Linked DNA regions of Arabidopsis thaliana. The protein of the gene in region 2 interacts with the protein of the main gene of each other region in a pairwise test. Each region holds a gene or a part of one and is shown on either strand. Other genes may lie near its edges.

Evidence for each region. Proteins that work in one complex are often made in the same cells at the same time.
Region 1: the proteins of BBX13 (region 2) and NF-YB1 interact in a two-hybrid assay, tested with the Arabidopsis thaliana proteins (one study listed by BioGRID).

The regions. Positions count from the first base shown.
Region 1 is NC_003071.7:16,236,452-16,241,292, reverse strand, and holds NF-YB1 (nuclear factor Y, subunit B1), read right to left. Parts: upstream 2,802-4,841; 5' UTR 2,708-2,801; intron 2,616-2,707; 5' UTR 2,609-2,615; coding exon 2,409-2,608; intron 1,713-2,408; coding exon 1,579-1,712; coding exon of another isoform or gene 1,451-1,578; exon of another isoform or gene 1,314-1,450; coding exon 1,243-1,313; intron 1,155-1,242; coding exon 1,074-1,154; coding exon of another isoform or gene 1,068-1,073; exon of another isoform or gene 986-1,067; coding exon 977-985; 3' UTR 933-976; exon of another isoform or gene 719-932; 3' UTR 512-718; downstream 1-511. Other genes in the region: AT2G38890 (uncharacterized protein), read right to left, coding at 1-88, 168-198; AT2G38870 (Serine protease inhibitor, potato inhibitor I-type family protein), read left to right, coding at 4,243-4,261, 4,554-4,747. UniProt on the Arabidopsis thaliana protein: Component of the NF-Y/HAP transcription factor complex. The NF-Y complex stimulates the transcription of various genes by recognizing and binding to a CCAAT motif in promoters.
Region 2 is NC_003070.9:9,774,979-9,779,722, forward strand, and holds BBX13 (B-box type zinc finger protein with CCT domain-containing protein), read right to left. Parts: upstream 3,066-4,744; 5' UTR 2,680-3,065; coding exon 1,894-2,679; intron 1,703-1,893; coding exon 1,535-1,702; intron 1,251-1,534; coding exon 1,006-1,250; intron 893-1,005; coding exon 790-892; 3' UTR 544-789; downstream 1-543. Other genes in the region: AT1G28060 (Pre-mRNA-splicing factor 3), read left to right, coding at 4,189-4,665.

The DNA.
Region 1 (4,841 bases), on a different chromosome or scaffold from region 2:
AAAGCAGTGTCCCAGGCCAAGCTTTTGCGATGGTTCCATTTGCTCTCTTTGTGTGCCATCGGCTGCACAAAGTCAATCTTTACTCTTGCTGCTGCACAAAGTATAATCAGTTTCTGAAGACTAAAGAGATTTTAGATAGGAGAGGAAACAGAGGAAGATGATTCTACTTGATGATGAACCAGCTTCTTGAAATTCCATAGCCTGTTCTTGATTTTGAAAAATAGAATTTTCAAATTGGAAAAACAACAGCCTTTATTAAGAGAATTTATGGAGAGACAAAATTTTGAAATTTGTAAGTTTTCGTGATTTAAGCATTTGATTACTCTCTCAAAGCTTTTCAATTCAAAGCAAAATTAATTGCTGCCTTTACTTTGTGATTTTGTAAGTGTAGTATTTGATACAGATCAACTGACTTAAAATGTAATTGTCTATACCCAAAACAAAGGTACTGTACAAATTTAATTTAAGGATTTTGTATTAAATGAGAATAAATTAGCTATGAAATTCCGAAAGTGAATCGAAAATAACAACAGGATGTGGACAAATTTTTCCTTCATTCAAGTGTTCTCAACATCTAACAGAGAAATCTTTAAATACAACCAACTAAACCGGAAACAATAAACCAAACGTTCAAACTAACATAACCGAAATTGAGAGTAAACCCGAAATAGTTGTCGATCAGCTCAACTATAAACAACTCACTGATCTCTAATTTCCCCTGCACCGTTTTAGAGAATTTCACGTTAGACAAACAATTTTGAAACTAGCCATAGTTCATTCACACAGCAAAATATAACATGATCAGCAAGTTTACAAGGCATGTCCTACTATCATCAGTTGTAACGAAGTGAAGATTGGATATGAACCTACATGCATATAGACTATGCTCTTCATTTGTGTACATGAGGCCGTGTGATAGAGAGAAGAATTACTTGATCATTTGGCGATTGTTCTTAATCACTACTTGCAACTTCTTTTACCAGCTCTGTGATTGAATCAAAATGATGAAGTCAGAGCTAAGTACAATATAGGCTGTATAGCATTGGTATCATCTATACTTGTCAAAATCATACCGGCATTTCTTCACCAGAAACACCGCCACCAGCATCTCTATTTGATCCATCTCCACTCTTTCCTGATCCCTTATTATCACCCTATCATAATTTCACAACAAAACGTAAGAAGCCAATGGGCAACACTGGAATGGAATATAAAGTAGAAATAAGTATGTGGTTTATTTACCTCCAACTGCATCAGCAGGTGGTGTGTCAGCAACCAATCCCAGGGAATGAAAAGAACCGAATTAGTCTCAACTTAATAAGAAACATTTTGATTTTATTATGTATGTTAACAACAAAAGCACAAAAGAGAGAGTAATAAATGTCTTTCAAAATTTACTAATATGCATCCTGACTGTTGGTCTAGATTTATCTTTCTTGCTTCAAAAATTCTACACAAGACGTATTGAAGGGATTGTAAAACTGCTATCATGGCAAGCTTCGATGTTACTCACAGCTACTAATCTCTTGACTAGGATATTAAGGATTTCAGAACACATGATTAGGGAGTCAAAGCAACATACCTCCCTGTACCTCGCTAGGTATATCTTTAGAGGTTCCAGGTAATCCTCAAATCCTAATGTTGCCATTGCCCACAACAAATCATCACCATTCACAGTTTTCCTTTTCTCTTTTTGACACTTATCACTGGCCCTGATTAGCAGAAACAGATACCAGTCAATTGGCCATTACAGTCAACGAATCAACATAAGACCAGCAAAAGAGACTTAAGCGCAACATCAGACAAGCTTATCTTGAACCAATAGATAAATCATAGTTTCATACATGATAACTTATTTCTTCCTAACAAAGAACGGGGGCATCTGATGTTATAAGAAACATAAAACTCATCAATCAGAGACCTAAAACGCATTCAACACAAGCAATTCCTTCATGATGAAAAACATATCTTTTGCCTTAAATGAACAAAAAGGAACAAAAACAAACAGATCCTAAAGATAAAAGAATCTTTGAAACATGATCAAGATACGGCTTTTATACCCTAAGATGGTTAAATGAAGAAAAAAATCTAACAATTTATTTGACAGAGTTAAGATATAACACAGTAGAAGCATGTGAAATAATCTGCAAAATGGTCTATAGGAAAGGAACTAGGTTAAGGTAAACCCATACCAAACAATGGTTGATTAACATTGTGACAAAAAAAAAAACATAATCTTTGCTCTATAAACTTCAAAAAACTCTCTGAGCTAAACTCAATCCATAGCTAGTTTAAGAAAACTATCTCTCACAAACCCAAAGTTCCAACAAATGATCAATTTTTTTCACCAAAGAGCAAAATATTTTCCAACAAATTCGATTGAAAGAAGAAAAATTGGGAATGCATACTCGCTAGTGATGAAGCTGATGAACTCAGAGACGCATTCCTGAACTGTATCCTTAGCATCTTTTCCAATCTTACCATTAGGAGGCAACGCTTTCTTCATGATCCTGCTGATATTAGCTATAGGAAGGTATCGATCCTGCTCCCTAACGGAACCGCCGCTTTCTCCGCCATCTCCAGCTGGGCTCGAAGGCGTATCCGCCATTTATACTCTACAGAAACAGAACAAACACTCAATTTGAAACCTAAACATGGTCGATGAAGCTAAAGTAAACAACAAAAAAGGAAATCGAAAATGGCGTACAGATTGGGGAAGATGGAAACCCTAGAACTTGGAATTGGGGATAGTCGTTTTAGTTTTAGGGCTTTAGAGAAATCGAATTTTTCTACGAAACGCTGCGACTGGTGTTTATATGATATGATTACACGTTTTTTTGTATTTGTTCTGTATTAGCTTTTGTAAAAGTTTTCAGACAAGGATTAATTTGGTAATTAATTAGACAATTTAAGAAAACTATATGAACAATTTGACTAAGGGTGACTTTTTCAATCTATTGTATAATAATTAGATGAGAATTTAAACATAAATTCATTTAATTTTTCAATGAATTATCTACGTAAATAAATCATAGAAAATTAAGATACTCTAATAACAATACCAACGACAATGTGGATTCAAAGTGCCTAAAGAACAAATTCTTTTACTTATGTAAAAAATCCTAAACTTTAAAGAACAAAAATTAAAATACAAAGATAAGTAATTAACATTTTATTGGGCTTCTAACTGGATTTGGTTCTATTTATTTGGGCCTACGTTTGAAAACCTCGGTCTTAAAGAATTTGTGTCCAGCTCCAGCACAAGGAGAGGCTTATAGACCATATGTCTTTTGGTGTCTGTTTCAATGGGCTTACATGTTTTGTTTTCAGGCGGCCTCGTCTTCTTGACACACACAAGTTTGTAACATTGGGCAGTGTGAAACATACACAAAACTAAACACTAATTAATTCTCAACCACAAATATTTAAGTGTGATGGTGACTTGGTCTCATATAATATGTGATTTTGTAATTTTGTTCGAAACCCGCATATAGAGTTGTTACCAATTAATACCTAAATCTTTATTCCGGATACGTGCTTTTACCAATCTTAAACAGACCAAAAGAAAAACTATGACTAAGTTGAACTGTATATACGTGTTTTAAACTGTATATACATATCAAATTGAATATTAACTATATGACAAGATTATCAAACGGGAACAAAAAAAAAACTATATGACTAAGTTGTGATGTTGTTTGTCAAATTTTATGTACGTCAACAATTCAACATAATTGACATTATCGTTGTTTGTGTGTGTGACAACAATTGATTATAGTATTTTTATACATGAATTTTATGAAGGACAGTTTGGTCATTTTTGTCGGCTAAGTGCCAAATTTGGCAGAAGCGTTTTTTTGCATGCAAACAGAATTCAGTCGACGCTAGAAATATTTTTCACCTTCGTTTGTTTTTCAAATTTCGACATTATCTTAGCCTTAGAAACCTTATCTTGTTCTCGATAAGGTTTGAACATCGTGATATAAATATGTACATTTCAAAGCTTTATAAAACAAAATCAGAAGTGTCAAAGCTTTTACCAAACAAATTAATAATGTCAACGAAGGGGCTATTAAAAGCTGGTTTCGTCAAAGTTTGACTTTTGAATCTGCAACCTCACCGACGACACCGACACCAAGACGTAACGTACGTATCCGATTCTATAAATGGGACTCAAATCTCTAAAGGTGAGCATACAAATACATCAGAAGACTACATAAATATATACAAGAGTGAAGAAAAATGTCGACCGAATGTCCTAGTAAGTTTTTGTATTTGTATTGTATAGTTCATAATTAAAGTTTTATATGTTTGTAAATAGTTAGCTAATGTTCAATTAGATATGGATTCAAGGCATTTAAAATTGTAATTCAATAGCTATAACATATATGATTACATTTTCTAAAGTCTGTTAGAAGGTTAATTATGTTACATATGGTCAATCCATGGTGATGTTTCTAGTTCTTTTGTTTTCATTTACTCAAATATGAGCTTCTTGATCTCCAAAATCCCAAACGTAAATGATTGACCGATCTAACGTAACGTGATCGCAGGGAAGAACTCGTGGCCGGAGCTTACGGGAACAAATGGTGACTATGCGGCCGTGGTGATAGAGAGAGAGAACCCCACCGTCAATGCTGCCGTGATTTTGGATGGGAGTCCGGTGACCGCAGACTTCAGGTGCGACCGGGTCAGAGTTTTTGTTGATGGAAACCGTATCGTCGTCAAAACCCCCAAATCCGGCTAGACTTGTATAATTTCTATATTCATAATGAAAAAGCTATAGACGAGTCGTGGTTGGTTAGTAATCAATCATGTAAAATAATAATCGTTTGCCTTCA
Region 2 (4,744 bases):
GAAAACGAATGGGGATTCCAAGTGGTTCACATTTATTAAGATATGAATCCGAGTAGGATGAAGGACATTTTTGAGGGTTCAAGGCGTTTCGGAGAGGTAAGATAAAGATGGAGAGGAGAAATACAGAGAAGAGAATTCTTGATTGAGGGAATTGTTAAACGAAAAATTTAATAGAGAATTGGTCTATTCTTATAGTCACTAAGAGGAAAGTCAGAGAATTAGTTGTCTTTTAAGAAGAATTGTCACCTGCATCGGATCCCACGTCTGCAGAGCTATATGACATTCAAGCATAAACATTATACAACATCCACTACATGTATTATACACTAGAATAAACTGATTGTGGAATTTCGCCTGTGAGTAACTCTTTAAGTAGGGAGATTTATACCTTCTGAATTGGCCAACACAGCCAGAACCACCAAAGAAACAGCAACGAAGAACCACAGCCGCAGATCCGCTCGCCATCTGCGAACTGGACTTGGAAAACTTTGATTAACAGCCATAAGTCAGGGTTTTTAAAACAAAGAGTATCAAGGCGTATTAGCTTGTGAGACTTCAAAATGCTTGGATAGACATGTATATACTGTCAACAGAATATGGTTTTCTAGAAGGTTACAATCTTTTTTAAACTAGATAAGATTCCAAGGTACATAAAAGGGCCAGATAAGGCAATAAAACAGAAGGGCGGCCAGATGAAACGAGACCGGTCTGTACATTTATGAGGCAGTGGAAGTAAAAAAAGTAACTAAGTTTGTAGCTAAAAGGAAGCCTATGTGAAGAGACTTAAGGTTAAGGGTAAGGAGCTTCACTAGCTTTCACAAATCTGCCTCTGACACGCAACCTAGTGTCAGCTCTTGCCTTCCTCGATTCATACCTTATGGTCTTATCATATCTGTTGGCACCCGAGATCCAAGACAAAGGGAGAAACGAAATATGGTATCAGATTCTTTAAGGGAGATGGGCAATAAAAAATTATTAAAGGGGAAAGAAAAAAGCAGCATTTACCTCCGTGTCTTCCTCTTTTCCTTGTAACGCTGCATTGCATCTCCTCTGTTCTGAGCCAGCCGCTCCAGATCAGCCTTAGTTGCAACTAGTCTTGTGGTCTTACAACTAGTTCCAGCAATATGCTCTGTGAAATGCAAGTCACTGGAGGAGTTCGAACCTTTCTCAGAGCCAAAGGTAATTGGACGATTGTTGCTCTCAGATTTTGTTGGTTGTACCTGGCCTGAAGTTGATCGCTTGTAGTCATCCTGCAAAAGAATCCTAATCAGCATCACAGTTAAGTTGCATAGCAGTCTAGCAAATATATATCATAAGCCAAAATGTTAGAATTGGTGGCTTGGTGATGAGGTAAAACAAAGAAAAGCAAACCAGCTTGTAACTTTTTTCTGACTAGGTTTCATGTTCTGAATTCTATCATTCACTAAAAGAAGCAACTGTCTACAACAATTTTTGAGGATGAACGGGAGATGACAACGTATTGTGTTTTAAACACTACTCTACTTAAATGACTAAGGTTAATGAGAACTATTACCTTTTTAATCTCTTTGACACCTTTCACATTAGTGGAACAAGTTTCATTCATATGGTCAACAAAATTGTTGATTGTGAATGAAGAAGCAGCACCTTTCCCTACATATGCAGCTTCCACTCGACTCGTATCCTCAGGTCCCCGTGACTGTCCCAAGTTAAAATCCCATATCTGTATACAAGTTCACAACACAGGTTAAGAAACCTTTCATTTTTTTATCTTCTTGAGAAACCATAAAACCACACAGAGTGACTATATTTGACCTTACACAAAAACATTTCACCACTTAATCTCACTTGCTCATTAACAGAAAAAACTAAACTGTTCTTAGCCAAAAAAATCAAAAGAGAGATAAGCAAAACCTGAGAACTCTGGCCACCACTAGGATTAGTAGTAGTAGCATTCCACTGCTGGTTAACTCCTCCTCCTCCGCCACCATTGATCTCCTCAACATCTCTTGACCATTTCAATCTCTCTGACATCTCCGGAACCATAAGCCCCTCTCCTGCTTCTCCATCTCCATCTCCATCACAAGCACCCTCACGGTCACAATCACGGTCACGATCACCATCATCGCCATCACCACCGACAACACCACTCTTAAGCAACTCCTCAAGCTGCTTACACAATACCTGCTTATACCTCCCACAACTAGATCCACAAGATCCACGCTTCTTAAACGTCGTATCGCTGGGAACAATCAATTCATTAGATCCCAAAACCCAAGAATCCAACTGCATCCCGAAATTATCCATCATCATCGCCATCATCGGAACTTGATTCTCTTCATCTTTCCTCCCTTGCTCCAAATCAAGTCCCCATAAAGCAGCAAGCTCCAACGCCGATGGACAACCGGAAAAACCTTCCACGGCGGATCGAACATGAGCATCGGAAACTGAACAACTTCCGTGAACATCCCAATCACACTCCTGACACAAAATCAGATTATCGGTGAAACACCGAACAGAGACTGGCTCGTTACCGCAATTATCGCAGATCTGAGATCGCACGTGCTTCCTCGACAACAGATTCGCCGTGTGAACTTGCTGATCACAAGGCAAACACAGCTTCGCCGTATCGGCTCTACAAAACAAAACCGCCGTACGCTCGCCGCAGAAATCGCACGGTACTCTCTCCGAACTACTCATAACTGACTCTCTCTCAAAATCCCTAAAATTCGAAATCAAAATCAGAATTTATTTTCAGAGACTAAGGACGGTGAGAAGAATGATGACAAATCCATTTCTCACGTTTTTCATTTTGAACTCTTTTTTTTTTTGGGGGGCTTTGTCAAAATTATCTGCAAATCTTTTGGAATGAAGAAGACAACGAAGCTAATTATTGTAAACAGTTTGGGGTTAGGGATTTGTTTTTCTGTGTTGCGATGTATGGAACTTGTGTATGATGGATTGTTCAGATTGAGATATGTTGAGATCTGACGGTGTAAAAGCGTGCTGAGAGAGTCGCCATTGTTCAGACGGCGAAGCTTACGTTGACTGTGACAGAGAATCTAAGAGAAAATATCTAATCTGCTTTTTCACCTAAATATCTATTTTAACGTATAAAGGGAAAGTTAGTTCAAAGCACATGATTTTTATGGGATTAATTCTTTCCGTATATAGCAATAACTTTTTGATCAGTGTAATAACGGCTGGAATCGTCTTTTTCTGGAACTAGTATTTACGAACATTGCAGCGTAATGTATAGCATATATTTATGTGCATAATAAACTGCTACACACGAGTTCTTGACAAAAGATGTGATAAAATTAAAATCGTAAAGATATTTTAGGATTCATGTTAGATATTTTCTTTTTGTCCATAGACTTCAATAAGTTGTTTTTTTTTGTTTTGAAAAAAAGTATAACTTATTTGTAAAGTGCTATCATTCTGAGGTATAAATATCTTGAAAAAGTTCCTGGGGAGTGGTAACAATCGGAACGATTCTTGACTAACGCATTAAATTTCACGTGTTAGAGAGTTTGTGATTCAGACTATACATAATACAGTATATGAGCGGGTTTTTTCTTTTTTGAGTCAAAGCGGAATATATGCGTTATATACTTCTATATTTGAATTCTTGAGTTTTGATCGAATGTTTAATTTGTGGTCAACTTGTGGAAATCTCTTGGCAAAGAAATCTTATTTATCCAAAAAATAGTTGGTATGAAAACTCTTGGCAAAGAAATCTTGTTTATTCCAAAAATAGTTGGTATGAAGAGTTTGGATTTCTGCTTGTAAGAAAACTGCGACCTGACATCAAATATTTTTCTTTTTAAAGATAAATAGCTTGAATTTTCATATATCTCTATAGAAGATGAATCGTCGATTTTTTTTTTTTTAAGTAAAAGATGATATAAAAGCCCATTAGACTCAAAATTGAAGAACTATCTCAAGAAGGAACTCAAAAATGGGCTTCAGCCCATAAGGGAAGCTTGTAGTCCGGTGATTGGATTATATATCTTCCGGATCCGGTATCGTTTCGCTCCCTTTAGGATTTTTCCGGAAGGAACAAAAATCTGATTCAGAACTTGGTTTCGCTGGTCGTTTTGGTTCTAATCTGAATCGCTGGTTTATTCCGGTTGTGAATTTTCGTATATTTATAGGACCGGCGAATCAGAAGCAAATTGTTGTTAGGAATAAACCCTAAATTCTGCCATGGATAAGGAGAGATATTCCAGGAGCCACCGTGACGATCGTGATCGAGATTCGAGTCCCGACCATTCTCCACAACGTGAAGGAGGACGCCGCCGTGACCGCGATGTTGATTCGAAGCGTCGTGATTCAGATCACTACCGTTCATCGAGGCGCGGCGATAGGGAAGATGAGAGAGATAGGACCAAGGATAGAAGAGGGAGATCTGTAGAGCGAGGCGAGAGAGAAGGGAGTAGAGATAGGGAAAAGCATCACCATGAGAGGTCTCACGAAGGTAGTAAAGAGAAGGAATCGAGGAGCAAGAGGAAAGATAGAGAGGAAGAGAATGGGGCTAGGGATGGGAAGAAGAAATCTAGGTTTGCTGATGGGAATGGTGAGAGGAGGAGCAGGTTTGAGGATGTGGCTATTGAAGTTGAGAACAAAGATGCTCAAGTCTCTGAGGGTTCTGGGGCTACGAATCCAACCAGTGGCGTTACGATGGTGAGTTCTTTATACCTTTTCGTTAATCTTCTTTGTTTGCTACTTGCGATTTGTTCATGATTACCTCTAGTCTTCTTCG